Linked DNA regions of Tamandua tetradactyla. The protein of the gene in region 1 purifies or fractionates together with the protein of each later gene. This does not show direct contact. Links are inferred from orthologs where the notes say so. Each region holds a gene or a part of one and is shown on either strand. Other genes may lie near its edges.

Region 1 (6,845 bases):
GTCACTGGGCTGAGGAGAAACCCCACCCCACACTTACAGGCCAAATGCTATGCCAGATACAGGGATTCTCCCTCAGAAAGGGCAGGAGACACCCAACAGAGTTACAGGTAAACAAGAAATAACTTAGTGTAAGTATGACCCCAAAATTGCAAGGGACATACTTATTCTAAAAAAAAATTTTTTTAAATCATTGTTGATCTGAAATTCAAATTTCACTGGACATCCTACGCTTTTTTTTTGCTGACTGGCAAACCTAAGGCCCAGCCAGCAGTGAAATGCACGGCTGACAGCCATGCAGTTAATAAATAAACACCCCAAAGCTTCCACCGCAAAGTGGAGACCCATTCTAAAGGCACAGAGAAGGGGCGATGCAGCTTCTCAGGGAGAGCCTTTTATGCTCAGGAGGGGGCCAACACACAACCCAGTCAGCAAGGCCAGGACCTACGGAACCCGCCTCATCATAACATCTCGTGTCCTAGGCAGAATGGGGCTTTTGGAGACGTGGCTTTATTTGGTCCTCAACAACCCTAAGCGAAAGCCAGGCAGCCCGGGGACCCTCTTTCTGCAATGGTTTAGAGAAGATGCAGGATTTGTCCAAGGTCAAAGCAAGGAAGTAGAATGGGAGCTCAACGGTCAGATCTCAACGCATGAGACTTCCTAGGACACAGGGAGGGAAGGGGAGGGACAGATGTCCAGCAGCCCCTCTAGTCACAGGCCTGGCCAGTCCCTGGGCCCACGAGGATCAAAGGCTCTGTCCCCCCACCCATTAGACCCCCCCCCTCACCTCTCCATCTGCCCTCTCTGCAGAACAGCCGGCAGGGTGCAGGGCCCCCAGCCATGCACCAACCTGGGGTAGGGAGCCCCCACCAGGCCTCTGTGATTAGAGAGGGCCAGCTTGCCCCAGGCTCCTTCCTAACACTCAGGAAGGTGACAGAAGGGACACAGGGCCGGATACCAGTTCTGTCTCTGCAAGGGGCCAACTCTAGCCTTCCCCACTGGGACCCACGGTTGAGGGGGTAGCTGGGTTTTCCCCACCTACATATGTGTATCTTGGCCTGCAGTTGTTTCTGCCATTTTTAAATGGCTCCACTGGGGCATGGGGCGCCCTGCACGGCAGGGGAGCTCCGGACTTGGATCTGAACTTTGCAAAGCCTCCCCTTCTCACGGTTCTGAAAATGCTTTGTCCCACTGGAGCCAAACCCAGCCCACTGCCGGGCATCCGGCCATCCGCAGACAGCCCTTTCATAGGAGGCCCCGGAGCACGTGGGCTTTATTGATTTCCCTCTTGCCTCTTTTTGTTGGGTTTGACTCAGAACGGACAGCTAACTTGTGACACCGCCGGACCGGGAGACTCGCCCCCAGTGGTTTTCAGAGGCTGAGGCTTACCAAGAAGTTACACCCCCAAACATAAACATAGCCTGCCACGGGGGCCTGCCCAGTTTCAAGGTTTTAAATAGAGGGTCAGGAGAAGCCCGCGGGCAGTGACACTCAGGGACCGCGTCGCAGCTGTTCCTCTCCCTCCCGGACCCTGGAGAAGCCGTGGGAAAAAAAGAAAAAAAAAAAAGTTGAAATCAGGGAGCCGGGAGTTTTCGGACAAGTCTGACCCAGGCGGTGATCTTTCCGGGGCCTCGGGCCTGGCCCTCCGGCCGTTTCGGAGTCACATCCCCACCAGGCCGTGGAAACGTTCAAATCCTGTTAATTAAGAGGCCACGCCAGGCTGGATCTAATTTGAGCCCGAAAACCACGTCCGCCCAACACCAAACATCCCCGGCCCCCCGCGCGGAGAGCTGAGAACAAAAACAACGGCTCTCTCCGCAAAACAAACATGAGCTTCTGTTTTTAGAAAAGCAGACGCGGCCCAGGACCGGTTTTTGACCCAAAATCTTCCCTCGGCCCGCCCCGGGCCGCGCCCGAGCCCGAGTCCCCGTGCGCGCCGGGCAGGGCAGGGTGGGAGGCGGGGGCCCCTGCGCCCTGGGGCCCGGCGGGCAGCTCTCGCTCCCGGCGCTCGCCCCCGGCTTCCCTCCTTCGCCCGGAGCCCTCTCACCAGGCAGCCCAAAGCGCTAAATTTAAACGGCTCGCGCTCTGCAAACTCCGCAGACTCGAGGGCGCCGGGGCCTGGGAGGCGGGGAGCGGGGGAGCCAGCGCGCCGGGGCGGGAGGCCGGCAGGTCGGAGCGCGGCGGCGAGGCCCGGCGGGGCCGAGGGCGCGCGGGGACCCGGCGCGGCGCCGCCCGGGGCGCGCGGGGAGGAGACGGCGGCGGCCCCGGGCCCGCTCAGTGCCGGCACAATGGAGCTCGCGCCCCTCGCCCGGCGGCATCTCAGCCCCGGCGCGCGGGAAGCCGCTTTCATGTGACTTGCACAAAACGAAATGGCTTCTGGGGCCGGCCTCGCGTTTCCCCCGCTCCCGGGAGCCGAGCGCCGCGGCGGGGGGCTGTGCCCGCGGGTCCCCGCCGCCCGGCCCGGAGCGCCCCGCCGCCTCCAGGCTGATGCCGTCGCGCCAGGTGGGCGCCCGGCGCGAGCGCACCTGGGCAGTGGCCGCGGCCCCCGCCGGGCGCAGGTGACCCGGCTCGCGCGCCGCCCGCCCGCCCTCTCCAACTCCGGGCGCCGCGGCCGGGTGGGAGGCCGGGGGCGGGGGGCGCGGGCCGGGAGCGGCGCCGTCGCCCCGCCGGGGCTCGCGGGAGCCGGGCTCGGGGTTGCTCGCCGCCGCGGCGCCCGGGCGCAGAGGCGCCTCAGCTTACCATTTGCGCACTTTCTCGATAGCCGCCATGACCCTCTTGATATCATCTTTGGCCCGGCTCCTGGTCTCGGCTCGAACCGACCTGCCCGACATGGTGCTGGCGGGGAGAGAGAGGCTAGGGGAGCGCGCCCGCCGGTCCTGCTCGCGCTCCGCGGCGGCCACACTCTCGCTCGCTCACTCACACAGACACTCACACACATACACACACACACATATACACACACACACCCTCACGCACACATACACACACACACACACAAAGCCTGGTGCCGCCGCGCGCCCGGGGCCCAGTGCGCAAGCGCCGGGCGGCAGCTGCACCGAGCAGGGGGAGCAGCGCCGCCGCCGCCGTGGCCGCCAGCAGTGCGGCCTCCGGGCGCCCGCCGCCGGGCAGCAGCCCCCAGCCTCCGGCCTCGCGCCCTGGAAGCTCTGCCCCCAGCCCAAGAAGGCGCCCGGGACCCCGACCCCAACCAACACGCGCGCGCGCACACACACACACACACATACACACACCCCACACTCCTCCACGCCCACACCGGGAGGCTGCGAGGGGCGGCCCCCGGCTCCCGCAGGGCACGTGCAGGGAGGAGGCGGGCGGGCACTCACTCGGAGGCCTCGGGGGCCGTGGGGTCCCCCCGGGAGGGCAGGCTGGCGGGGCCGCCGGGCGCGGAGGGCGCGCGTTCCTTAGGAGCCAGCTCGGCGGCCTTTCCCCTGCCCCGGGTCTGCTGCAGCGGTTGCAATAATGCAAGTTTCCTGTGGGGCTCTGGACTTCTCAGAGTTGAAGGCGGCGATTCGGGAAGCGAGTTGCTCTCGGAGAGTTGAGGACTCTGGATCGCTGCTGGCCCTCTTCCCGGTTTAAATTCACGGGCTAAAAACCCTTGGCTCCTCCACGCTTCGCTCTTTTGGAAAACCAGGGTCGTCGATGCGGGCCACGGGGAACATTCGACCTTATTAGATACGTTTCTGCGCAGGAAAATCTCACTTGTTATCAGCATTTTAATAGGGTCCTTTCCTTCCTTTCCACCTGGAGAACAGTATTGCCCTAGCCCTAAGTAACATGAGGGATTCCCTTACTGGGGTTTCTGTCGGCGAAACGTAATTTAAATGGAAGCCACTAATTGCCCCCCCTGATTTAAGTACAGGGCTCAGACCAGGTGCTGGTCCTAGTATAGATGCTCTGGCAGGTAAAATAGACTGGTCCCATCTATGCTGAGACTCTCCGGGGTTGTTTCCTCCTAAGTGGGCCCCAGGACTGAGCTCAGTGGAGGAATCTGTGTGCCATGACTTTGTGTTTAGCTGCAACTGTTTGGTTAGACTTGACCACCTCTAAGTCAGGCCTGAGGTAGGCCTGGAAAGGTGAGCACTAGGCTGTCAGCAACCCAAGTACCTTAGAAACTAGCCCAATGTGAGTCATTTGACAGGTGGGGAAACTGAGTCCCAGAGAGGTTAAATCCAAGGTCACAGCCATAATCTACATCTCGGGTCTGCTCGTCTTGAGTATCAGGCACTATTCCCTTGAAGTTTGCAGTGGGAGGCTGCCGGGCTGTGTCCCAAGCATTCCATGTTATCTTTCTGAAACTCAAGTTCCTAGTGTGCAAAAACTGAAGATAAGAGCATGTACCTGAGAGAATCATTCCGAGACTTAAGTGGGAAAATGTGTAACAGCAGGTCATATAAGCCTGCCGGCCCTCTGGATCTGGCTAGCAAATGTGCACCTTGGACCACAAAGAACTTGAAAAATATATATCTGAATTACAAAATAGGAAGATATGTCAAAAACACAAGTAATCGATGAATGGATAAATGAAATGTTGTAAATTTACACAATAGCATGTTACTCAGCCAGAAAAAGGAATGAAATTCTGATGCATGTTACAACATGATGAACCTTGAAAACATTAAGCTAAGAAGGTCACAAATATCATATGATTCCATTTATGTGAAATAATATCTAGCATTGGCAAACCCATAGAGACCTAAAGCAGATTCGTGGTTGTGGGGGCTGGATAGAGGAACAACTGCTTAATGGGTATAGGGTTTCCTTTTGGGGTGATGATAAAATTCTGGAATGAGAGATGGTGGTGATGGCTGTATAACATTGTAAAGGTACTTAATGCCACTGGATTGTATACTTTAAAAGGTTACAGTGGTCCATTTTATGTTCGGTATTTTATCACATTAAAAACAAACAGGGCAAGCCACGTTGGCTCAGCAGGCAGAGTTCTCGCCTGCCATGCCGGAGACCTGGGTTCAATTCCTGGTGCCTGCCCGTGCAAAAACAAACAACAAAGAAATATATCCCAATATCCAGCTTCTCTAGAAATAGCACATCTGGCAACACTGGGACCCCATTATCACATGGGCAACAGTCGGTTGAGGAGCCCTGGTGTCTTTCAGACAAAAACTCTCCAACTCACCAGCTTTTGCTCCTTTGTGTTACCTTCCTGGCCCGTGAAGGTATTTGCGTTTTTGATTCCCCATCAAGCCGTAAAGCTTTCCACAGATATTCTTTTACAAATCTAGTATGTGACTTTTTATAATTTCCTGTCCCGTGCAGATATTTTAAAACTTGTGTTTCTTTCAGCAAAAGTACAGCTGTTTCACAGACTATTTCAAAGTCTGAAAATTCTAATACTTGTAGTATTGGTGGTTCTGTTTCTGCTGGATCTTGCCCATGGTATCCTATTTCCTGTGGTCTGCTTGTTTCTCTCTGACTGCTGGATAGTGTCGTTTAAAAAAATTGTTTATAGGGATAATTTGAGGCCTGGGACGAAGGTATCGTCCTCCAGAGCTGATTTACATTTGCTTCTGCCAGGCTCCGGAGGGCACTGCTGGTTTAGGAGCACCTTAATCCAAGTGCAGGACTTGTGGTTCCCTGGACCACCCAGGTGATGCACATACGAGTTGCATGATTGTGTAAGACAGGTTTGCCTACCGTACCCTGAGGGCAGAGTACATGATGCGCTGTGGCTGGCTTGCAGGCCTTGCTTCCCAATTCTCTGTTCAGTGACCTCATGCTGATGGCTTGAAATCAGCCAAGATAGTGGGATTTACACCAGGAAAATTGGCAAACACCAAAAGCAGGCCCTCCTTCCCCTCCCCCATCCAGAGCTGGTTATTAAACCTGTACCAGCATTCTACTGATAGAGCCCAGTGGGGTCCCAAGTTATTGTGGGTAGGGTCTCCCACATAGTGTGGGCCTTGGACTTTGATTTCTGGCCCCCCTTGCCCCATGAGACCTTTCACATTCAAGTTTAAGCATGCTAGGTAAAAAGGCTTCCTCACAGGATTATCTTTTATGGTTCTTTTGACCTTCAGTTTTATTGTCTTGTCATCACCTTGTGGATTTGAAGATGTTTTTAAAAGTACCGTCTTCTAGCATTTTCAGTTGCTTTCAGCTAGAGAGTTAATCTGAATAGCCCATTACCAGAAACTGGAAGTCCAGCTCTCTAGGAATATTAGCCATTATTGTAGACATGTTAAAGAAGTGGTCCTGGGGTTACAGAAGCTGAGTTATTTAGTTCTTGTGCCAAACGTCTCCTCTCTATGCCTCCTCTTTCTCATGGGGATGATGACACTTACAAGGACTAAACACGTTAGTTTTTGTCAAGCCCTTGGAACCACGCTGGGCACATAAGAAGCGCTATGTACTGGAAGAGATTTATCAAATAGAGGACCTGATGATCTCTGGCATGGTCATGACACATGCTAGAGCCTGAAATCAAACTACTCCTTTTGCTTAGCTTGTTAAATTCAACTCTGCTCCCGCTGGTAACCGTTCCTCCCGCATGGAGGCTTGTCGGTGGCTGCGGGGAGGAGGAGGTTTCCATCTCGGGAACAGAGATGCGTAATTGTGAGGAAAATGCAGTCCCAGCTTTGGCATTTCTCTGCAGCGCTGGTCCTCACCTAGCAACTTGTAACAGAAGCAGCTCATCGTCTTATAAACAGAGGCGCCCTGGTGTTTGGGGAGCAGGTCGTTAGCAAGGCCTAGCAAAGGGGGGAAACTTGGATGGGAACCCTCAAATCCCTACATGAAGTGCACCAGGAACAGATCACTGAGGCCACCTCCTTCCTTTTACAGAAAGGGAAGCTAGCATCCAGCAGTGCCTGGCC
Region 2 (7,549 bases), on another chromosome or scaffold:
CATTGATCCAATTAGCAGGTGAGCCTTGGGGATAAGGTGGGCAGGCTCTGGAAGACACCTGGTCCATCCCCATGCCAGGCAGGTGGTGGGGATCGATTGGGGGAGACCCAAGGGTAACAAAAGTATGCCCCAGGCTTTGTGCAGGGGTTTAAGGGCTTCTCCAGCTCAAAGGACCTGGGTAGTGCAGGAGGGGCTGCAGGGCTGCGGGTCTGATGGCTGATCGGAGGTGCCAGCTCATCAGCAGCTGCCTAGTGAGTGGCCACAGCATCCTTGGTGTGGCTCCAGGTGCTGGGGACTCAAGACAGACCCAGTCCACTCGAGGCTCACACTCGAGTGGGGCAGAAGGAGAATAACTTTGTCAACAAGAGAGGTGATTTTCAACAAGAGGGACCACCATGGAGGAAGCCCTGTGATCAGAAAGGCTGAAGATGGTGCTGGCACATTAAGGATGGGAGGTGATTTGGGGTGAGCCCCGAGGGTGACTGGTTGGCTTAGGCTCCAGGATAGACAAAGGCACCGGGATGAAGGGCAGAAGAGCTGTCATGGGGTGAAAAGAGCATGCCTGGGCCTCTGGATGTCACCTGGAATCTGGCCCAGGCTGTGAGTCTCAGTTTCCCCATCTGTAAAATGGAGTCCATGATATCCACTTCACAGGGTTGGTGGGAAGAGTACAAATGATGTCTATTAATTGCCACATGAAAGGTCTTCAAAAATGGTTTGGGGGTGGAAAGGCAGGACTTTGAAGCTGGAGAAACAGGTTTGCATCAACTTATAGGAGTACAGCTTGTAAGGCTAAAGCTGAGGTACTGGGGAACTGCAGAAGGACTTTAAGCAAGAAAGACACACGATCAGACCCACACAGGCCCAAAGATGAGAGAGGAGGAAATCGTTGCAAGCCGGCTGGGCTGGGCCGTGGGGAAGGGAGGGGTGCTAAGGCGCGGCTTGGTGTTCGGAGGCCAGGGCAGGTCTCCACTGGACCCTTTCTATTCTCAGGCCGTTCTCTCCATCCTGTGACCCTGCAAATCCCAGTCCCCCACCCACCCACCCCAGCCTTTCTGGCCTCCAGAAAAAGCTGTGTGGACCTTATTTCCAAATAAGGTCACATTCACAGGTACTGAGGGGATAGGACCTCAACATAACTTTTTGGGAGACACAATTCAATGTGTCCTCTTCTGTCTTGGGAGAGGAAGACAAGAAAAAAGGACATTGTCCTAAGGTCTTCACCCAGCTGGATGGCAGCACCTTACCCTGGACCTGAGCCAGAGTAGTCGTGGAAGCAAGGGGCATGCTTGCCCTGGATTCCCTGGGACCTCTCCCCACCCACCCTGCATCAGGCAGCAGCAACCCTGGGGAACCCCTTGGGGCTGCCCTATCAGGGTGGAGAAAGGTAAGGGACCTGCAGCAGCTGATGCACTGAAAGGATGTTTGCTTATATCAAGGGAGCCAGGGAGAGGGAGGAAAAACAGCCTTCCCTCTTCAGCATATCTCATAGGGTTCAGGTACCATGTTCCACAAATACACACAAAAACGGATTTCAGAACTAAGAAGAGAAGATGTCGTTGGAAAGCCAAAAAAAGAGAAATGTCCCTACAATCCACTGTTCTGAATGTTCAACATGTCCTTATTCGAGTTACCCTTCAAAAAGAGAAATAACATATCTAGCCTACCTAATATAATGCAGTTATCCCTATCTCCGTAAAAACACTGTCACTCGTTTGTTTGTTGGATATGGAATGTGTGTAAATAAAATTCGTTTTTAAAATACATTCGTTCTTTTTCCAAAGGGAGAAACTCAAAGTCTGGTCAATTATCACAGCCCCTTCCAAGTCCAGGATTTCTAGGCAATATGCCTTCTTCCTTCACTCGTCCCTTATCAGCCCATCTCAATATCTTGCAAATTATGAAACTACATTGTAAGATGAATTAATACCAAGACAAAGTGGGGGAAAGGGAGAAAAAATCTGGAATTAGAATATGTTTAAATAAAATACTTGTTGCATCAAGAGAAGAAATACATGTACAAGTTATGGACTTTTTCTACCACAAAGCTGTAGCCACCCAGTCCACGAACTCTTTATCCTCCATCAGCATCTTGGCCGTCAGGGTCCTTTACCAGCGATGTGTCTCCGAACTTCATTTTGAAGTAATCTGAGCTCTTGGTGGATTTCCCTGTAGAGAGTTGACTTTTCCCCAGAACATTTAGTTTTGAAACATTGAAAATAGATTCACGAACATTCCTATACCTTTATCTAGATTGGCCAGTTATTGCCATTTTGCTACGACTATTTTAACACTCTGGCCATCAGTGGGGACCCTCTTTACTTTCTTGCCTGGTGGCACTGAGAATGACCCATCGGCAGTCTCAGCTTCTAGGTTAGTGGAATCGTTATTGCACCCTCTGGTGGAAGCATTTCTCCCTTGGGTCAAAATCTGACTCTAAATCAGCCAGAGCCCAAAGTTGGAGGAACAGGAAACAGACATTGTGCAAAAGGATCATTAGTTGAGACTGCAAGGGGATGAGTCCCACTTCTGCTCTTTGGTTCCCATACCCACATATTCTGCCTGTAGGAGAAGCACTATATTCTGTGTTCAGAGATATGACATTTCTTAAAAGGATCCTAAAAGTACTGAAAGTCATTGATGCTGGGCTCAGAAACCGGCTTTCCCATGATGTAGAACTAGCCTACTAATTATTACTCATATTTGTAATTTAAACTTTTAATTGAAATATGCATAGAGAGGAGTGCACAAATCTTGTGCAGATCAATGATTTTTTACAAAGTCAACAAACCCATGTAAAGAAAAAGGACATTAGCAGCCTCTCACAGCCACCTCGTACCCGCTTCCCAGTTATCATCTGTCCAAAGATAACCACTCTTCTGACTTCTGGCCCCACAGTCAGTTTATCTGATTTCTTGTGTAACTATGTGAATGAAATCATATAGTTTGTCTTCTTGGAATCTGGCTTCTTTTGTTCAACATTAAGTTTTTACTATTCCCTCACGTTGTATAGCAGCAGCTTGTCTTTTCCATTGATGTTTAATCCATTCTACTACTGTTGGTGGATATTTGGGTTGTTTCCAGTTTGGGGCTATTATGGAGACTACTGCTGTGAACATTCTTGTCTTTTGGTGTATACATCTAGGAATAGAATTGCTGGATCATAGGTATGCTGAAGCTGTGAGTTTAACTTTAGTGCTAGCATACTTTCGACTCCTGTGTTGGAGTCACTTTTGATGCCCCTTGTCCCCACAATCGTTTGGATCTCAGAGGTAAAAGAGTGCACCGGTGTTGCCTTGGGGTTTTTCTTCCAAGGTGTGACAGCCATTCTGCAAATTCTGGTGCTGCTGCAGAGAACAGCATGATAACTCACACTGTCATCTGGCCAAGTACCATTTTAACACACAGTGATGGCAGAATGCAGCCTGATTCTGAAATAGTAAAAGGGGTGGGGGGTGGTAAGTGCATCTTGGCATTGATAAGATATATCGGAAAAATAATGGGGACCAAGGAGCAAGCCCTGGGGAGTGTGATGGTTATAGGTGGGCCACAGAGCTGGCAAAAGACGCCAAAGGGACTGTCGGACAGCCGTGAGCGTGTGATGTTTCAGACTGGAGAAGCGTTCGAAAAAGGAGGAAATGGTCAATGGTGACACCAGACTGCTAGGTGGATGAGGACAGGAAACAGCCCTCCAAATCTGTCGCGATGGATGTCACAGTGACTTTGTGAAGAGCCGTTTCAGGGGCCTGGTGGGTACAAAACTTTCATTAAACCAGCCAGAAGAGAGCCATGGAAATAAAACAGCAGAGATGGGGGAATAAGGGATTATTTGCTTTGAAGGGATGAAAAGAAAGGGAGTGATAAGGGAAGCAAACATGGGCTTAAGGAAGAGCTTTTGATTTTTTTTTTTTAAATAAGGGGACATAGAGCCATGCTTGTACGCGGAGGAGAATGTTTCACAGTGCAGAAATGAATGGTACAGAAGAGTGAAGGATAATTACAGGAGGGAAGTTCTTCAGAGTCTATGTTGGAGGGAATAAAGTTTTTTGAGGAGTAGGTAGGGACTGGTCTTAGGACCGGGGAGAAGAGGTGGGTACCAGAGACTTTCGGTGGGAGGGTTTGGTGGCAGGAAGATGAGGTAACTTTTGTCAGACCCCAATATTCCGGCCAAACAAATGTCCAGCTCTGGATGTTAACTCCCTAAAATGGACACACGTTTGTGGGCAAGAGCGGACTGTGAATGTTCTTATTTTCAGTTAGCTGCCCACCAAGCTCTGACCTAGGGCAAAGGGTTAAACATGAGGTTAAAGGTCGGCTTCGGGGAAAGACGTAGGTGCTCCCTACAGCCCTTTCTCGGGAGGGGTCTAAATGGAAGAGGCGCGGCTGGGCTGGAGCAGGAGCAGCGGGGCGCGCGCCCGTCTCCCGTCGCGCCTGCGCGTTGGCTCCCTTCGGCTCCCTCACACTGTTTCTCCCCAGCCTGGGCGAAGTTCATTCCCCCTCGCTCGTTCTCGGGCGCGCGCGCGCGCCTGGCCAGCGCCTGCGCAAAAGAACGGAGAAACTCGCCCCCACCCCGAGCGTGCCCGGCGCCTGCGCGCTGCGGGCTCCCGGGCCTCCCCTCCTGAAGAAGAGGAGCAGGGAAGATGGCGGCTGTGGTGGAAAATGTAGTGAAGCTGTGAGTGGTCGTTTCTTTCTCCCCTAGATCGGGAGGTCTTGTAAGGGGCTTGGGAGTGGAGGCGGTGTGGGGAGGGGATGAGGCGGAGAGAGAAATATGCCTGGGAAGGCCATGTTGCTACTCCTGGCGGGGGAGGGCAACAGAAGACTCCGGAGAAGACGTTGCGCTTCTTTGGAAACTTGGGAGGCCCTGTGGGGGGCACACGGGAGCCCCTTACGGCGGAGTCTCTGTGGGGCTGTGTGGACTGAGCGCTCCTTCAGGGCTGACGTAGGCGCCCTTGCAGCCTACGAGAGGTCCGCAGGCTGAGGCTCTCTCCCCGGGTCGCCTCCGTCCGGAGGGGCTGGGCCGAGGCCCGGGCGGCCCAGGCGACGGTCCGGAGCCCTGGAGTTGAGCCGCTTCCCCGCGACTCCCAGTCGCTGCCCGCAGCCGGCCCCCGAGCAACAGGCTCCGGAGCCGCTGAAGGGGAAAAGGGCCGTGGGGCTGTTTGATTCTAACAGCCCCATAACGTCGGGGTACCTTGGGTGTCTGCTACCCAGGACTTAAGATGGTAGTGGGAAGAATTTGTTGGAAAGCAGAAATGAAAGAACTTCAGAGGAGCTGGCCTTTGTGCTGGCCATTCCCAGCCATCAACAAACAAACAAACAAACGGGAACTGGACGGGAGCAGTCCAGGACGACTTTATAGCCTGAAGGGACATCTGGGTCGCCAGTCTTCTCCTATGCTGTACCATTGTGCTGGTCAGTTTTCGAACAGAATTAAAGTTGATGGTTGGGAGAGAAATGGAGAATGGCCTGTTGGTTGCTTCCTGTGAGTTAAAGATGCTTTGGGGCTTGATTAATCCAACCTCCTTCCTGAAGAAAGGATTCTGAATGAGGTTAGAAATGTCTTAATGCCCCGTGGGCCGGTAGGCAAGCTGTTTTTAATGGATAATTTGGGCTTGGTGCAGGAGTTGGAAAATTGAGAGGCATCCACCTGTCCAGCAAGCCGTTTAGATTTTGAGAACTATTCTAAGTTTAGGTTTGGGAACTATTCTAAAGGACTGACAGCTTCTCTGTCTTTGTCATGGGCTAAGCCCCACATTTCCCAAGAGCCTTTTTAAAGGATATGTTGCTTCTCCCCAATGCCTGGAGCTTTTCTTCTCCCCCCTGCCTGGAGTTTCCCACTTCCATTAAGCTAAGTGCCTTCTCCTCTTGTGGTTCTTTTTTTTTTTTTTTTTTTTTTTGACTTGCTTTCTGCTTTATCCTGCTACCTCTTTCAGCCACCCCTCCTCCCAACACATTATCTTTCTCTCTGATCTGCCCACTCTAGTTTCCCTGCTCTCTCTTCAGGCTGACATTTTCCTCAATTTAGCAATGACAATGTTGATCTGCCATTTATATAGTTATCCTTCCTGACTCAGACGTTCTGTCTTTGTTTCTCTGCCCTTCTCATTGTTGACTCCCCCACTCCCATTCTAAGGGAAGATGTTATACAGATTTCCCGCTTCCCAAGAGTCAAAGCGGCCACCTTGGAAATCTTGCTGTGCCGAAGGAATGTCATGCTTGCCTAGGTTTTGAGAGTTGTAGGTAATGAGGGTCTTTGTGTTGGAAAACTTTCTTCAGGGAGACAGGGTTGCCAATTATTTCCTGTGTTGTCAGAAGGTAGTAGCAAATAGAGCATGACTTCTCATTTTTCTTTAAAGACCTGTAGAGATTGTGAGGGTCACCAGCCACTGATTCCTGAGTATGGATAATAAGAAACCCACTTTCCCCTCCTCAGTTCTAGCTGCAGAAGGCTGCAGACCACAGTTAATACGTTTCCCCCGGCACCTCCTCTTTAAGAGTAGGTGTCCATTCTTCCTGTCCCATTCTCACCCTGCAAAGAGTTGCTCTTCTGGCACTTCTCTTGATCATGTGTGTCCTGTCTTTTGACACCTGAGGTTATATCCAGCCAGGTATTTTCTTGCTTGCATCTTATTCTTGAGAGAATTTTCCTATTTGTGAATTCTCTGTCCATCCTAAATGGTCTCAGGATTGAAACAGTCTTTAAGGAATCTTACCAAAGAGAAGCCAAGATAAAATGATAGTATTAAAAAGCTGTAGCTGCTGACAGATTTTGAAACGGAATTAAGTAACAAAATCTGGGAAATTCTGTTTGCTTGGAATTTCTTGCTACAGGAGCCCTGAGTTCTTAGAAGCTCTCTTTCTCCCTTTCTTGCTTGCTCTTCATTAGATCCTCCCTGCCCCTTAAATATTTCATTCTCAGCCCTCATACCCCCTTTGACAGTTTACCCCACCCTTTGAAATACCACTTAACTCACAAGAGCTTTTACAGAACATCTCTCATCCATTCCTCAGAAACCATTTCTAGCCTCCTTGCTCTGACTTTGCAGCCCTCAGCCGGTCTGCCCTTCCTTCCATTTGGCTTCCAAGTGTCAGTATCAATTCCCATCAGCAGAAACAAAGGAGCTGCTGCACTCAGCCTTGTTTATCCAATTTCCCTCTGTGGTGAGGACGTGGCTGCCTCCTAAAGGCAAGCAAATGTGAGCCTGCTCCTTTCTCACCATTCTCCAACACAAGGTTTGTGCCTACCTCAAATTATGGTAATTATAGCTTATTGAATCAAGCCAGGCTGTACTTCTGGGGTCGCTGTCTGTGTGTGTGGTATGTATCTTTTTCAGCTGCTGGGCACACACTAAGCTGTGCTGTATTTTCCTGTTGCACTGCACTCAATGAAAGCCCCCATCAGATTCCAGAACAGAGTTTGCTGGGGTAGCTAGACTTATGGACATAAGCAATAGAGACTTGGTCTGTCTAGCTTCTCATACTAGGAGTCCCCTCTCACAGGATCCTGATATGTCAAAGCTTATCTAGTCTACCCCCCGCACCCCCTGGTCTA
Region 3 (7,111 bases), on another chromosome or scaffold:
ATGCTAATGTTCCAAGAAATAATCATGATGATGAATATGCAACTATGTGATGATATTGTGAATTACTGATTATATATGTAGAACCGAATGATCAAAAATTAAAATTAAAAAAAAAGAAAGACAAGACCTAAATAAAAAAATAATAAAGACTCCGAAATGTACTTAATGCAGACCTTTGTGTTTCAGAGTCACAGGTGGTTCCCTCCTCCAGAGTGAAGGCTTCTGTGTGCCCACCTGGGGACATGCCTCCAGGAGGCACACTGTACACCCCAGGTGCTGGGAGCAGCCCCCACACCCAACAGGCTGAGAAAGGCATGTGGTCCAGTTACTTGCCCCGGTGGGACACGCAGGCCTACCTGCCCTGCAAACCAGGCTCCCACAGCTCTGCTTCCTGGGGGAAAGAGAGGCGCTTAGGCTTTGTTTCTCTTTCAGCATCTTCTAATTCCAACTCTTAAATTCTGAATTAAATTTTGAGATTTTTAAAAATCATTCCTCCCTTGTAACACTGTCACAATCGACTATACAAACTCTAGAAACACAAGTGTTCAAATTAATGACACTGTAATAAATTAAAAAAACAAAATGAAAAAACTCATGACATCGTACAGTTCATCCAAATTTTTCTCCACTCATCTTTTACTTCAAAATTCTAAGTCCTTTTAACTGTAATGAAAACAATACAAACTACAAAAGTGAAAACATTTCACTAGAAATATTAGAATGGCTATTATTACTAATTTAGTTCTACTAAGTTTACTAACTGAACTGTCTGGCTTTTTTATAGTTGTTTACAATCATTTTTTAATAAAAGCTCAAGTATTTTGGAATATTTGTCAAATGAATTCTTTCCAAATATACCTATACTATCCTAAGCTAATATGGAAAAACTCTCCCCATTTACGAGGAAAGTTTTATTTCTACACAAAAGTAGAATTTTCCTTCCATTAGTCTGGGAAGCGGCTCAGTCTCCTCACACACAAACCCCTTCTCCTTCCTCCTGGCTTTCCTCCGGCTTCCCGCGGGGAAGGTCACCAAGGGTCAGGCCGAGCCCACCCCGCGGGGGAGTCACGAGGCTAGGCCGAGCCCACCAAGCGGGGAAGGTCACCAAGGGTCAGGCCGAGCCCACCGCCGCGAAAGTCTCTTCGTCTTTACCGGGTCGAGGTCACGCGGCCTTCCGGCCCGGAGCCGCGACACAAGCCGGGAAAGTACCCCCAAATGAGTGGACGGGGACCCCGCCCGAGCCTGGGGCGGAGGCGGGACTTGTATTCAGAGCTGCCGGCGACGCACTTCCTCCTGCTTCTCCGAGGCGGGAAGGGGCTCGGGACCTCAAACCCTCGGGGGCCGCTCCGTGGACTCCCCGCCTCTGAAGGGCACCGGCCCTGAGCCCCCCCCCCCCCCCGGCTCCCCGAGGACCCGCTTACTCTGAGGCCCCGGCTCCCTAAGAATCGCCTACTCTGAGGCCCCGGCTCCCCGAGGACCCTGGCCCTGAGACCCCTCAGTTCCCTGAGGACCCTCTTACTCTGAGGCCCCGGCTCTCCGAGAACCCCAGCTCTGAGGCCCCAAGGCTCTCTGAGGACCCCCGGCTCTGAGGACCCCAGCCCTGAGATCCCTGACAACAACCCCCAAATCCCTGGGCCCCCGGTTCTGACACCTCCTGACTCTCTGAGACCCCGGCCGCCAGGACGCGCACGGCCAGACCGCCGTTGGGACCGGCCCTGGGGCCCCCCTCCCCGTCCGACCTTCGCGGGCCCCGCCACTCCTCACCTTCGGGGACGGCGCTCCGGGGATGGCCGCGTCGCCGTCGCCCAGCCGCGGGGAGAGCACCGTCCCGGGGACCGCCGCCGCCGCCGCCGCCATCAGCCCGAGCCCCAGCCCCCCGCGCCGCCGCCGCCGCCGCCGCCGCCTAGTCCTGGCCGCGGCCGCCGCCGCCGCGCGGAGAGGCCGCCGCGGCGTCCGCTCCCCGGGCCCCGCCCCCTCCGCCCGCCCGCCGCCGCCTCCCGGAGGCCGGCCTCTGCCGCCGCCCCGGGCCGCCCCGCCGCCGCGCGCCCCGCGGCTCGGCGCGGCCACCGACACGGCCATGGTCGCCGCCAGCGCTGCGGCCGCCGCGGCCGCCGCGGCCGGCGCGGAGGAGCGGAGGGCAGCGCAGAGGCGCGGCGCGGCGCCGGAGCGGAATGGAGAGCGCGCAGCTCGGCCCCCTCCTCACGTCAGCCCTCTCCTCCCACCGCTCCTCTCCGCGCCCGCAGCCCGCGCCGCGCCCCGCCCCCGCCCCCGCCCCGCTCGCTCGCCTGGCTCCCACCTCTCCGCGCCGCCCACTCCGCGGGGTCTCCTCCGCCTCCAGCAGACCCCGGCTACCGATCGACCCCCCGGCCTCCTACAGACTCCTAGCTCCCCAAAGACCCCGGGCCTCCCAAAGACCCCCCCGGCCTCCCAAAGACCCCCTCGGTCTCCAGCAGAGCGCCGACCTCCAAAAGACCCTCCGGCTTCCCAAAGACCTCCCGGCCTGCCAAAGACGCCCGCCCCCGGCCCCAAAAGACCCCAGGTTTCCGGCAGAATCCCGGCCTCGCGGAGACCCCTCGGTCGGCCCCGAACCCCTCCCCGTGTCCTCGCCGCTGCACTCACCGCCTCCCGCGCCCCAGGCAGCCTCCCGCCCCCGGGGCCTTCTGCGCTCACGCTCGGGGGTTCTGGCGCCTGCCCCTTCTGGAGCGCCCCCGAGTCTGGGCTCTGCCGCCCCCCACGCGCTTTTCCAGGCGTGCGCCGGGTTCCGCCGCGGCGCGGGAATGGCCCTCGCCCGGGTCTTCGGCCCTGCCTTTGTTCTCCACTCGCGTCCTCATCGCCGCCAAGCTCCACGTGCACGTCGGACCACAGAATCACATCCCACTGAATGTGTGCTTTCCGATTCAGTCTTTACCTTCCTTTCATCAAAAAGTCTTTCCACATGGAACCCAAGGCAAGTCAAAAACCGTAAAATGTCAAAGTAGCTGAAATTCCACTGCTTGCACATGCTTTTGTGTGTTCACAGATGTGGTGTGCACCGCCGCCGCGGCCGTGTTAGCGAACGCGGGAGGAGGGCCCGGAGCTGCCAGGAGAACGCCCGCGGGGTCCGGGGACCCGGAGCTGAGGGGAGGAAGCCGCACAGGGCCAGTGGACCCGTAGCTGCCGGGAAAACGCCCACGGGGTCCGGGGATCGGGAGTTGCAGTGGAACGCCGCACCCGGCCCTGGGACACAGCTGCGGGGAGAACTCCTTACAGGGTCCTGTCACCACGTTGTGCTCCAGGAGCCTCGATCCATGCTGGCCTTCACGTTGGCGCTGCCTCCTGCTTGGGACCGGGCATTTAGGCCAAATTTGCTGATTTGTAAAATAGGGGCAATACAATCGGGTTTGTGAAGTGCACAGAGGAAGCGCCAAGAAAATGGCAGCTGTTGTATTTGAATTTAGTGTTAATCCAACTTCTCAGGGTTCACTAGGTCGCTTCTTTTATATGTTATACTATACAATAAAAAAGTTAATATTCAGTTATTTAGTTGTACTCTTCTTCCTTGGCTAGTCTATCTCTAGATGAAATGCAAATTTAAAACATCTCATTCCAAGTCAGCAGATAGTGATCTGGCCTTCGGTGTTCAAGGTAGACAGGGTTAAGAAGGCACCGTATGGTGACAGGCCCTGACCATGTGCTGCCTCAACACTAAAAGAATATGAGGCAATTGTTGTTAAAGGCCACTCAGGTGGGAGAAAATTTAATTGCAATTAGAAGAATTAAGATTTAAAAGTCAAGATAGAATTTTTAAAGTATCAAGAAATAGGTAAGACTTCAACTCAATAGTAATATGTTCAGTTGGAAGTGAAAATGAGGGTTCTAAACCCAGAAAAAGTTGAGAGATCAGCAAATATGAGGCATACTCAAGGTACCATCAGTTATTCTAGTTTGGCTAGAGAATAGAGTAAATGAAGGAGGGTTCTAGGAATTTGAGATGAAATATACAAAGAGGCATTACGATGTAATGGAGAAAATAAGCAATTTAGAGTTAAGACTGGTTTAAATCCCGGCTATTTGTTGTGTGATCATAGGTAAATTACCTAATGCCTCTGACCCGCCATTTCCTCATTTTTCAGATAAGAATAATAACACCCATTCAGTTATTCCACAAATATTTTATGGCACACTATGAACTGGGTTGGGTGATGGGATGTAAGGAAACAATTATTCATTAATACATCAAATACTTCCTTATTGTTCACTAAGTTAGGCCCTGAGTTATACACTGACAATACAGTGGTGAAGAAGAAAAACAGCCATAAAACTCCAGAAGACCACATAGAGAGAATATGTAAATTGAGGTTTGAAGAAGATCCAAGCCAAAGGAGGCCAGAGATCCTTGTGGAAGTTAAATAGAGAAGGAGGAGGAAGAAAACAGAGTGTGGGGTCTTGGAAGCAAAGAAGATAAATACTTCAGAAAGTGGAGCTGGTCAGCTATGTGTATCATCTGAGAAGTTGAATAAGATGAGGACAGAGAAATGTCCAGTGATTTGATCAACTTGAGGTCATTAGCAATCTTGACATGAGTTGTTTGAGTAGCGAGGTGGTGACAGAAGCTGGGCTGAAATCGACTGGAGAATGAATGGGAGGCTAGAAATTGGAGCCAGAATACAGGTAATTCTTCTGTAAAGTTTTATTGTCAAGAGCCATAGAGAAAGGGTTAGCTGGAGAGGTGTTGTTTTTTGTGTTTTTTAAGATGGGAGAAAATTCATAGCTGACAAGAATGACTCAACATAAAGGGGAAAGTCTTGGTGCAAGAGAGAAGAGATAGTTTACAGAAGGCAACTCTTGAGAAGGCAAGAAGGAATAGGATCATCCAGAACACAAGTGCTGGGACAAGCCTTTGATAGGAGAAGCACTAGTCATCCATTCTGTTACTGGAAGGAAGACAGAGAATGTTGCTGCAGATGCAAGTAGGTTCATAGGGTGGTGGAACCTCTGATAGCTTCCCTTATCTTAATGAGCTGAGGCTTCAACTGAAAGTGAGTAGTGGAGAGGCATATAGGAGATTTGAGGAGAGAGATCATGCAAAAGAGTGTCTCAGAGAGTGGGAAAGCAAATTTTCTAGGATGCCAGGCAGTGTGGCTTGACCCTTTGATGTTTGTGGTCATGGGATTTAAAGTGAAATCCCTCAGCCTGGTTGAGATATTCTCAGCCAACTTTAGCTGCTTGGATGTAGGCTTGGAAAAAGATAAAATGGCATATATCTAGGAATAGATTTCCCTTATTGAGGAAGGACAAAAGAATTTGGAGTGTGTGTATAAGGAAGTGATTATAAATATGGGCCATGGAATCTAAGCTGAAAAAGGACAAACAAACAAAAAGGATATTAAACAGTGAAATAGGCCAATGAATTGGGCATGTCAATGAGAATGAAGGTGGTGAGCTGGAAGGACAAGAGATAATTGTGTGACAATAACATACTTAAAATTAAGATTGTAGAGGTCATATTAATATCAGTGATAAAAACGTCTAGCATGTAAACCAAGAAATAGATGACCAAAGGGGAGTGAAGAAAAAGGTCACTGAAGGTGAGTCGGTCAAGGAATCGAAGCTAGGAAATCCTAGCTTTGCATGCTAGTCCAGGACTATAAAAATGGCCATGTAAATTGATACAGTGCCAAGAGAATATTGATCATCGAGGAAAATTGTTCTGTGGCCTTAAAAATTTACTGTCAAAACCTTAAAAATGCTCTGCTGATTATAAAGGTATAGGGAATGAAAAAATAAACTAATATTTAGTATACTGCAATCTGAAATATTAGAAACAGAATTGTTTTATTTCTTTATTTAAAAAACTGATCAAGAGTAGTTCAAACTGTGCTTGCCTTCTTCTCAATCTGTAACTTATGATATGATGAGTATCTTTTCTATGCCTTGACAAACTATCATACTCCTTTCTAAATTTGGATAAGCTTCCAACGTTTTATCCTTTGCATTCTCAGTGTCATGAAATATCTCGAAGGGTTCTTTGATGTGAAGTTTTCTTTTCTTTTTTTCTTTCTTTCTTTCTTTTCTTTTTTTAACCAGCAGCACTTCCTCTGAGACAACCACCTGCTTTAAATAATCTGTGGAATCTGGGGAGACATATCCAGCAACATCCTTATCCACATAGCAGCTTTACCAGAGGGCTTAAAATTAAACAATTCATCTCAACTTCTGATACAATGAAATCAGTCTTTATTGGCAGTAAAAGAAATTCAGTCTCTTTGCAATTACCATTTTCTTCCAATGTTTCAACTAAATTCAACACTTTGGCCTGAATGCTAGCCAAACTGATTGGGGGTTTTTGTTGTTTTTATTACATTCTTCAATCCACAGTAGAAGAAATGCTCCATTTTTAATAATAAATGGCTTTCTTTTCCTAGAGAAATTTAAACCAGAAGTTGTTGAAGCAGCTTATCTTATTTTATATTTATAGATTTGTAGGACTTTTTCTGTATTATTCCTATAATAATTTCATGCAGGCCTAGGTCTTGTCCTGTCTTAGCTTTGCTTCAGTCATTTTCAACTCTCTTAATAACATAAAATTTCAAAGTTTTTCAAGGTCAAAAGAGTTGCCTACCTGCCTTCTGGTTTTAAGGCATGAGGAACTACAGCGTTCACTCGGGAAGGCTGCATTGGGACCCTTCATAACAATCAGGTTGTTGCTAAGGAAAGAAACTCAGAATACAAGAGAGGCTGGGCATCTAGAGGAGTTTGCTGAACCACATAAAGAAGGTTCCATAAGCCACCATAAAAAGCTCAGAGAAGGGCAGGCCACGGTAGCTCAGCAGGCAAGAACGCTTGCCTGCCATGCCAGAGGACCCGGGCTTAGAGAAGCAGAGTCTGATCACAGGGTGTTTGGATTTGTGATAGTGGCTGAAGAAAACATTTATGTGGCATTTGCTATTATTGATCGTCATGGTTCTTAGAGGACAGCAGAAAATCAGTTCTGAAGTTATGGACCAGAATATTTAGTTTGACAGTAAGGTGTCTTCAGGGTGTATGCACCCCTTTTATATAGGCTGATAGTGAGGTGGAGCAGGGAAAGGGTTCTAGGACAGCAGGTACAGCCATAATAGCCTTTGTAGGG
Region 4 (7,245 bases), on another chromosome or scaffold:
CGCCCTGTATCCCCAGCAGCCAATGGACGTGCGGTCTTCCCGGCGCCCCCTGGGACGTGTAGTCCCTGCAGGGGCGCCCCCGGGCCCCGCTGCGCGCCCCTAGACTCCACGACCCGTCGTGCGCCGGAAGGCGCGGGGATTGGCCGAGCCCCGCCCCCGTCCCGCCCCGCTCCGCTCGCGCTGCAGCCCCAAGAATGAATGAAATCGTAGCGCGCTGGGCGGCAGAGCGGGCGGCGCAGGCCGGGCTGGGCCCGCGCGCGGCGGCAGCGGCGCCCCGGGCCGGAGGCGGCCCCGCTGAGCGGGCCATGGCCACCGCCATTCAGAACCCGCTCAAGTCGTGAGTGTCTCCGCGGGCCCCCCGACCCCGAACACACCCAGGAGCCCCTCCCCCGCCCTCGTTGGGGAGGGGAAGCAGCGCGCAGCTGGTAGTTGAATGGGGATGCCCAGCACACCCTCTCGCCCCTGGGGGTCCTCCACCCCGTATCACCTCCTAGGGTTGGGGGAGGGAAACCCTCCAGGGCCGCAGGGGTGCCTCTTCTTTGTCGCTGTCTGTGAAGGAATGTGGCACCAGCTGGGGGGCGGCCGAGGCCGAGTTTCCCCACCCAGGGGGTTTGGAGCGTCCTCTCCTCTATCTCACTGACGGCGCTGGGCCTGCCTCCGTATAGAGTTGGGAGGACCTACCTCGATCTCGGGATCCCCACCATCCTTCTTTCCCTCAGTCAGGCACCTTTCTCTCTTTCTCCCCTCTTTCTCTGGGGACCCGGGCCCGAGCGTCTTTAGGGTGGGAGCTGAGATGTCGGGTGTCCGGGTTATATTCCTGCTGTCTCCACTCTTTCCTCTTCGGATCTCCAGCTTTGGTCCAAGACACCACGGTCGTCTCAGACCGTAGGATCCCCCCACCCCCCACCCCGCAATCCCCGACCATATACCTCTAACAAGAGCATCTCCCATCCTTCTGGGGACCGATGGCTCTGGAACCCCATCCTCCGAGGATTCCCTCCCTTTCTCCCGGTCCGAGCGTTAGCTTCTACCTGGGCCCAGTGGTCGGGAGCCAGGACGCCTGGGTTTGAGCGTAGCTACCCGGTCCCCTTCCCCCTCCTTGCCATCCCCGGCTCTATCCTTCTCTCTCCTTCCCTCTCTCCATCTCTCGCTCGCTCGTTGAGATCCTGGACTACGGGTCCCAGCTCTCCACCACCCCCTTGCCCCAGGCCTTGACAGCGGGCTCCGAGTGACAGGCGCGCGGCCGCTCCCGCTCTCTCTACCCGGCTGGCGAGCGCGGCGCTCCCCTCCCCCCTCCCCTCCCTGGCCTGGGGGAGGAGGCGGAGGGCGAGTAGCGGCGCCGCCGCACAAAGGGGCCAGGGCGACCTCCCCCACCCTTCCCTCTACTCCGTGCATTCGCAGCCTTGACCTTGAGCATCGAGTGCTGAGGGAAGGAGGGGAGTGGGGGCAACCCCGCGAAGGGTCGCGCCTGATGGCTGTACCAGAGGCCCCCCAGTCTTTGCTGGCTTCTGAGGGCGGGAGGGGGGAGGTGTTGGGAGAGAAGGGTGTGTGTGTGGTGGTGATGGGGGGGGAGGCGGGGACTTACAGCACGCGCCAACACCGGTGGCTTTGCGGTGGTTTTGGAGGGGGTGTATGAGGTTCAAGTCATCCTGAAGGGGAGTGTGATTGTGACACCCATCTGCTTCCCTCTTACCCTCAGTGGCACACACCACATACACACACACACACACACACACACACACACACACACACATGCTTTTCCTAAGAGGGAGACCCTCAAACTGGCTGGGAAAGGGGGTTCTTATGAGGGTTGGTAGATACACAGGTATTGGGATGCCCCTCACCCAAGGGCAGCTCACTGCAGGGTCTGGAGACCAGGGGGTTGGCAGTGTTAGCGCCCATTTTGCTCTGGCCTTACCAGGGATCTGCAGAGGCCATGGTAGGGGCCCACATGTTCCTGAGGAATGTGGGAGTCAGATCCCTCTCAAGCAGGAGGCTGGGGAATGCAGCTCTCAGCAGTTCTGACTGTTTACACTCAAACCCCAGTTTGAGCCACTAATTTTCTATTCCCTCAGAGCCTCAGTTTTATCATCTGACAATTGGGTGCAATACTAGTTCTTTTTACTTCATGGGGCTGTTATGAGGCTTACATAGGTGACATTTATAAAGCACTGAGTTGAGTCTGGCCCTGACTAAAGGTAGATAACGGTGGTAGGTGGTAGTATCATGCTTTATCAATATTGCTTTGTACTGTGGGCACTGGGGGTGGGGCTGGGGGTTCCTGTGTGTAGGAGAGTGTGGGGGGGAGGGGATTGCAGAAGCGACTAGAGGTGAGGAAGGGGAGGGAGACCCTCTCCCAGTGTCAGCCTGGATCTGTGGGTGGACCTGGGCCTCTAAGGAGGGGATGGGGTGTCTACACTCAGGCTTCGCTTGCTCAAATTGATGTGAGGGTTGTGGAGTGGGGAAGGGGTGAGTTGGGGTGTGTGTGGCTCCTAGTGTAGAAAGCAAGTGCAAGAGGGTGTGCTAGGGATCTGTAGGGTGAAGCAGGTGAGAGAAGGTGGCAAAGGCTCCCTCTGAGTGTGAGCCAGTGGGTCGGCAGGGGTGAGTTATGGCATGGCCACCACAGGGGCCAGGAAGCCCTGACCTTAGGGATGGCATGCCAGTGTCCCTCACTCACTCTTCTCACCCACCTTGCCACCTACTCTTGGCCAGATAGAAGCAGAGACTCCCTCTCCCCGGAGTTAGGAGGATGAGGGGGGGTCTCAGGGTAGAGGAGTGAGCTGTGTATGGAGAACCTGAGGGGTTCTTTAAGGGCGTGTGTGTGTGTATGTGTGTGAGTCACTGAGTGACAAAATTGATGAAGACTAGCGTGCCCCCCTCTCCCCATTTGCAGTAGGGCTCCCTGGCCGAGGAGGGCATTGTGGGCGTGAATGAAACTGTCCATCCATGTAGCCTCTGAATCCTGGATGCAAACTCTGGACAGGGAGGCTCAGGTGGTATGTGTGTGTGTGTGTGTGTGTGTGTGTGTGTGTGTGTGTGTAGAGACTGGATGAGTGTGCGTGACTTGGTGGGCCAGCTCATTCTCTGGGGATTCCCTTAGGGTGGTGTCAATGTGGGTGACAGTGGGAGAAAGATGGGGATAAACTACTTGGGGATGGCACCTGGGTGAGCCAGGGGCCGAAGGTTGTGTTATCTCGGGCACGTACCTCACCTCCCTGTGCTTCAGGTTCCTTGCCTGGAAAATGGGGATAAGAATGTTATTTCCCTAGAAGGCTGCTCTGGGGATTAAATGCCATGTGTATAGGGCACAGTGTCTGGCACATAGTGCTCAGTAAATGTAGTCGCTCAGCAAATGGATGTTGAGCATCGCCTGTGTGCCAGGCAGAATCCATTCTAATAACCATTAGCCATTTTCCCTCAGTGCATATCAGATCCTCTGTGGAATGGATGAATTTATTGTGCCCTTACTATGTGTCGGGCCCCTTTTAAAACACTTTACCCATATTTACTTACTTCATTCTCACAACAATTCTATGAGGCATCATCCCCATTTTACACAGGAGGAAACTGAGGCCCCAAAAGATGAAGTTACTTGCTGATGGCCAAGTGGTAAGCAAGTGGCAGAACCCAGAGGTGGCCACAGCACCTGACCAGTGTCAGGGTTGAGGAGGGTGGGGCGGCTGGGAGAGTGGCTGGGGCAGAGTCAGTCCCGAGGGGAGTAGGCACTGGGGCGTGGAGGTCGCCGAGCCGCGTGTGTGCACACGTTGGTGGGAAGTCTGTGTGGGAACCTGTAAGGTGTCTCTAAGTCTCTTGGCATTGAAGTGTGTGCGTGAGTGTAAATGTGAGTGCAGCTGTGAGTCTCTATGAAGGGGTCTGTGTGAAGCGGTGTGGGCGGGTGTGTGAGTGTGTTTATGTCTGGGTGGGCACCTGTGAGTGTATGAATGTGAAAACTGCGGGGTGTGGGCGTGGGTGAGTCCAGGTGTGCTTGTGTGAGTGTGTGCATGTACGTCTAGGATGTGGGGCGAGTGAGCGTGTGTGAGGGACGGTGGGCGCTCCCTCGGGCCCCGCCTCGCGGGCCCCCTGCGCTTCGCCCCCTCCCTTGAGGCCGCCGGGTCCGCGGGGCCCCCAGGCCCGGGACTACCACTCCCAGCATGGCCCGGGCCGGCCCGCCCCGCCGCGGTGATTGGTTGGGGCCCCCGTCCTCCCGCCCCCGGGAATGAATGGATGGGCTGCCTCGGCGCCCGCCCGAGCGCTGGGAGGACCGACCCGGCGGGGACCTGCTGGGGGCAGGACCCGGGGAGCAAGATGGCCACAGTCATCCCCGGCCCCCTGAGGTGGTGCGGGCCGGGGGAGGGGGGAGGGCGCGCGGGCGGGTCTGCGCGGGCGGGTGTGTATGTGTGGCGGCCGGGGGTGGGGCCGCTGTGGTGTCTAGGGGGCTGTCACTGGGTGCGGGGCTGCGCGGGGGTGCGTGTGTGACTGTATGCCTCCGGCAAGAAGGTGTCCTAGGCGCCGCTCCTGGCGGGGTGGAGGGTTGGGGATCCTCGGGGTCTTCGTTGGGGAAGGGGTTCATCATCCCTACCCAGCAGGGGTCCGGGAGAAGGTGAAATGGCCCGGGGGGTGGGGGCCTTAGTAAACTCGACTGAAGTCCACACTACCTTTGTCTTGGAATGCAGTGTGTGTGACTTATTTGCGTGTGTGTGTTTAATATGTGTGTGATTTATTTTATTTTGCACTATCTTTTGATATTTGGGTCTTTGAGCATGTACACATGTTCTTAGGAACTATGCAGGATTTGTCTCTGTTCTCTGTTTTTGGATAAGTAGGCATATGTGTATTTGTGTTGTAGAGTTTTGTGTGAAGATGGGTAGTTTGTTTCTGTGTTAATATATATGTATGTATCTTTGTGTGTTTGGATATGTGGTATTTGAGATGTTGGTTTCTATGTTGTGTGTCTTTTTGAATGTGTGTGTGTGTACCCTGTGTGAATCTGTGTGATTTCTTTGTATTATATGTCTGTATATGATTCCGTGTGATTTGTTTGTGCTATGTCTTTGGATATATGTGTAAGTGCATATGTGGTTGGTTTCTTTCTACTGTTGTCTTTTTGACATTTGTGTATCTGTGTGTGTTCTGGAGTGCATGTGTGTGTGTGTGTTGTGATGGGTGTTTCCATGTTGTGTGTTCTTATGTGATTTCTGAATGGGTGATTTGTTTGTATTGTGCATCTTTGGATATGTGATGTGTGTTTGTGCATGGATATATGTGTGATCTATCTCTTTCAACAGTATTTGACGGGATATTTGTGTTTTTCAGTATATGTGTGAGATTTGTCTGTTTCTCCTTTGTGAGTCTTGGGATGTGTCTTTGTGTGTGAATCCTGTGTGTCTATGTGTGATTTATCTGTGTTATCTTTGGATGGGTCCTGGTGTGTTTTTGTATGTTTCTGTATTGTGTGCATCTACTTCTTAGTTGGAGGCCTTCTTGAGTCCCATATTGGGGAACCCTTGACCCCTTGGTTCTGTCTGCTCCCTCCACTGAGGGTCCAGGACTGGCAAAGAGGGAAGAGGTGAAATAGGAGGGATGGGTCCACCCATCCCTGACTCTGGGAAGGCCGGGCTGGAGGAGGGGTGCTGCGTGACCAAGCGCACCTACCCTTGCTGACAGCTGCCCGCCCGCTCACCCGCCCCGCAGCCTAGGCGAGGACTTTTACCGAGAGGCCATCGAGCACTGCCGCAGCTACAACGCCCGCCTGTGCGCTGAGCGCAGCCTGCGCCTGCCCTTCCTTGATTCGCAGACCGGCGTGGCCCAGAACAACTGCTACATCTGGATGGAGAAAACCCACCGCGGGCCTGGTACCCGCCGGGTGGGCAGGGGTGGGGCGGGGCCGCAGCTTCTTGGCCGCATTCTTACCTCCCTCCTCACTCCAGGTCTGGCCCCGGGACAGATCTACACGTACCCTGCCCGCTGCTGGAGGAAGAAACGGAGACTCAATATCCTTGAGGACCCCAGACTCCGGCCCTGCGAGTACAAAATTGGTGGGTGGAGCAGTGCCTTGTGCCTGCTGGGGCCCCTAGTGTAGGCTAAGTGTGTGTTGATCTCAGTGTGTGTCTGATCCTCTGGCTTTGTGTCCCTTCTAGTGACTGGTGGGCTGTGTGTTTTGTCCAAGTGTGTCTGGGCATATTCCAGAGATTCTACAGTTTTCCCTGAGTGTCTGAGCTTCTGCTTGTATCTCCTCCTAAGTGGGCCTTGGTGTATTTAAGGGCACAGTGGTCTCTATTACGCTGTGTCTAGGTCTATTAAGTTTCTGACCTGTCTCCCTTCCCTTGTGAGCCGGGATGTATCCGATGCCTGGCCCTATCTCTTCTGGTAGGTACCTATGTGTGATGGACTATCCATCTCCCTGGGTGTGTCCTGATGTGGTGGGGTGTCTGTATTACCTCTTGGATATATTGGAGTGTGTCAGAATGCCGGTTGTAACTCTCCATTTGTAGCAGAGTCCATCAGTGTTGGCGTCTCTTTTCAGGTGTAGTAGAAGCTTTATTTCTCCTTGTGTGAGTCTGGGCTATCAGAATATCCATATCCATTTCTCTTCCTGAGTGTGTCTAGGTATATTGGGGTGTCTGGGAGAATCTCTTCCCATTAGTATCTGGAGTACAAGGTGTATTTCTGCCTGTGTGTCTTGTCTGTCAGAGCATTTGGCCTTATCATTTCTTGAATGTGTCCAGGGATATCAGAGTGCTGGCTATTTCTCTTCCCTTGTCCAGGTGTATGCTAGGGACTGGTTGTGTCCCTCTATGGGTCTGGGTGTAGCTGAGGGTTGGACAGTATCTCTGGGTGTCTCAGAGTGTCTCCAAGGGTCTGAATGTGTCTCCCATGTGTGGACAGGTATATCCAAGGGTCTGGGTCTATCTTTCCCAAGCATCTGGGTGGATCTGAGGGTTCAGGTATAGACCTCTCTCTTTGTGAGTCCAACCACCTCAGATGATCTGTATCTCCCCTGTGAATGTTCCCCTGTATCCAGTTTGAGTGTATTTCCTCATGGGTGTTTGAGTGTGTGTGAAGGTCTGGTTGGTTGTCTCTTCCCCAGGGTCTGGGCATCATTCCCAGGATGAGTGGCTGAATCCCTGCTTCTGTTGCTGGTTGAGTGTGGGAAAGCCTCTTCCCTCCCTCCCACAAAGAGCATGCTCCCTGCTGCCATGTGCAATGTGAGTCCTCCAGGGTTGACTTCTCCACTTGACCCCCCTA

What was found.
Region 2: the proteins of BCL7A (region 1) and DPF2 purify together in Homo sapiens (affinity purification with mass spectrometry; 3 studies listed by BioGRID and IntAct, counting the BioPlex papers as one, with this or other methods). This does not show direct contact. The link is inferred for Tamandua tetradactyla from reciprocal best matches to the Homo sapiens genes BCL7A and DPF2.
Region 3: the proteins of BCL7A (region 1) and PHF10 purify together in Homo sapiens (affinity purification with mass spectrometry; 3 studies listed by BioGRID and IntAct, counting the BioPlex papers as one, with this or other methods). This does not show direct contact. The link is inferred for Tamandua tetradactyla from reciprocal best matches to the Homo sapiens genes BCL7A and PHF10.
Region 4: the proteins of BCL7A (region 1) and DPF1 purify together in Homo sapiens (affinity purification with mass spectrometry; 3 studies listed by BioGRID and IntAct, counting the BioPlex papers as one, with this or other methods). This does not show direct contact. The link is inferred for Tamandua tetradactyla from reciprocal best matches to the Homo sapiens genes BCL7A and DPF1.

Annotation. Positions count from the first base shown.
Region 1 is NC_135331.1:9,905,294-9,912,138, forward strand, and holds the start of BCL7A (B-cell CLL/lymphoma 7 protein family member A), read right to left. Parts: upstream 3,016-6,845; 5' UTR 2,829-3,015; coding exon 2,737-2,828; intron 1-2,736.
Region 2 is NC_135335.1:9,220,141-9,227,689, reverse strand, and holds the start of DPF2 (zinc finger protein ubi-d4), read left to right. Parts: upstream 1-4,546; 5' UTR 4,547-4,640; coding exon 4,641-4,672; intron 4,673-7,549. UniProt on the Homo sapiens protein: Plays an active role in transcriptional regulation by binding modified histones H3 and H4. Is a negative regulator of myeloid differentiation of hematopoietic progenitor cells. Might also have a role in the development and maturation of lymphoid cells.
Region 3 is NC_135337.1:73,934,984-73,942,094, forward strand, and holds the start of PHF10 (PHD finger protein 10), read right to left. Parts: upstream 3,017-7,111; 5' UTR 3,002-3,016; coding exon 2,909-3,001; intron 1,868-2,908; exon of another isoform or gene 1,858-1,867; coding exon of another isoform or gene 1,765-1,857; intron 1-1,764. UniProt on the Homo sapiens protein: Involved in transcription activity regulation by chromatin remodeling. Belongs to the neural progenitors-specific chromatin remodeling complex (npBAF complex) and is required for the proliferation of neural progenitors.
Region 4 is NC_135342.1:25,754,736-25,761,980, forward strand, and holds the start of DPF1 (zinc finger protein neuro-d4), read left to right. Parts: upstream 1-4,242; 5' UTR 4,243-4,305; coding exon 4,306-4,334; intron 4,335-5,691; coding exon 5,692-6,035; intron 6,036-7,245. UniProt on the Homo sapiens protein: May have an important role in developing neurons by participating in regulation of cell survival, possibly as a neurospecific transcription factor. Belongs to the neuron-specific chromatin remodeling complex (nBAF complex).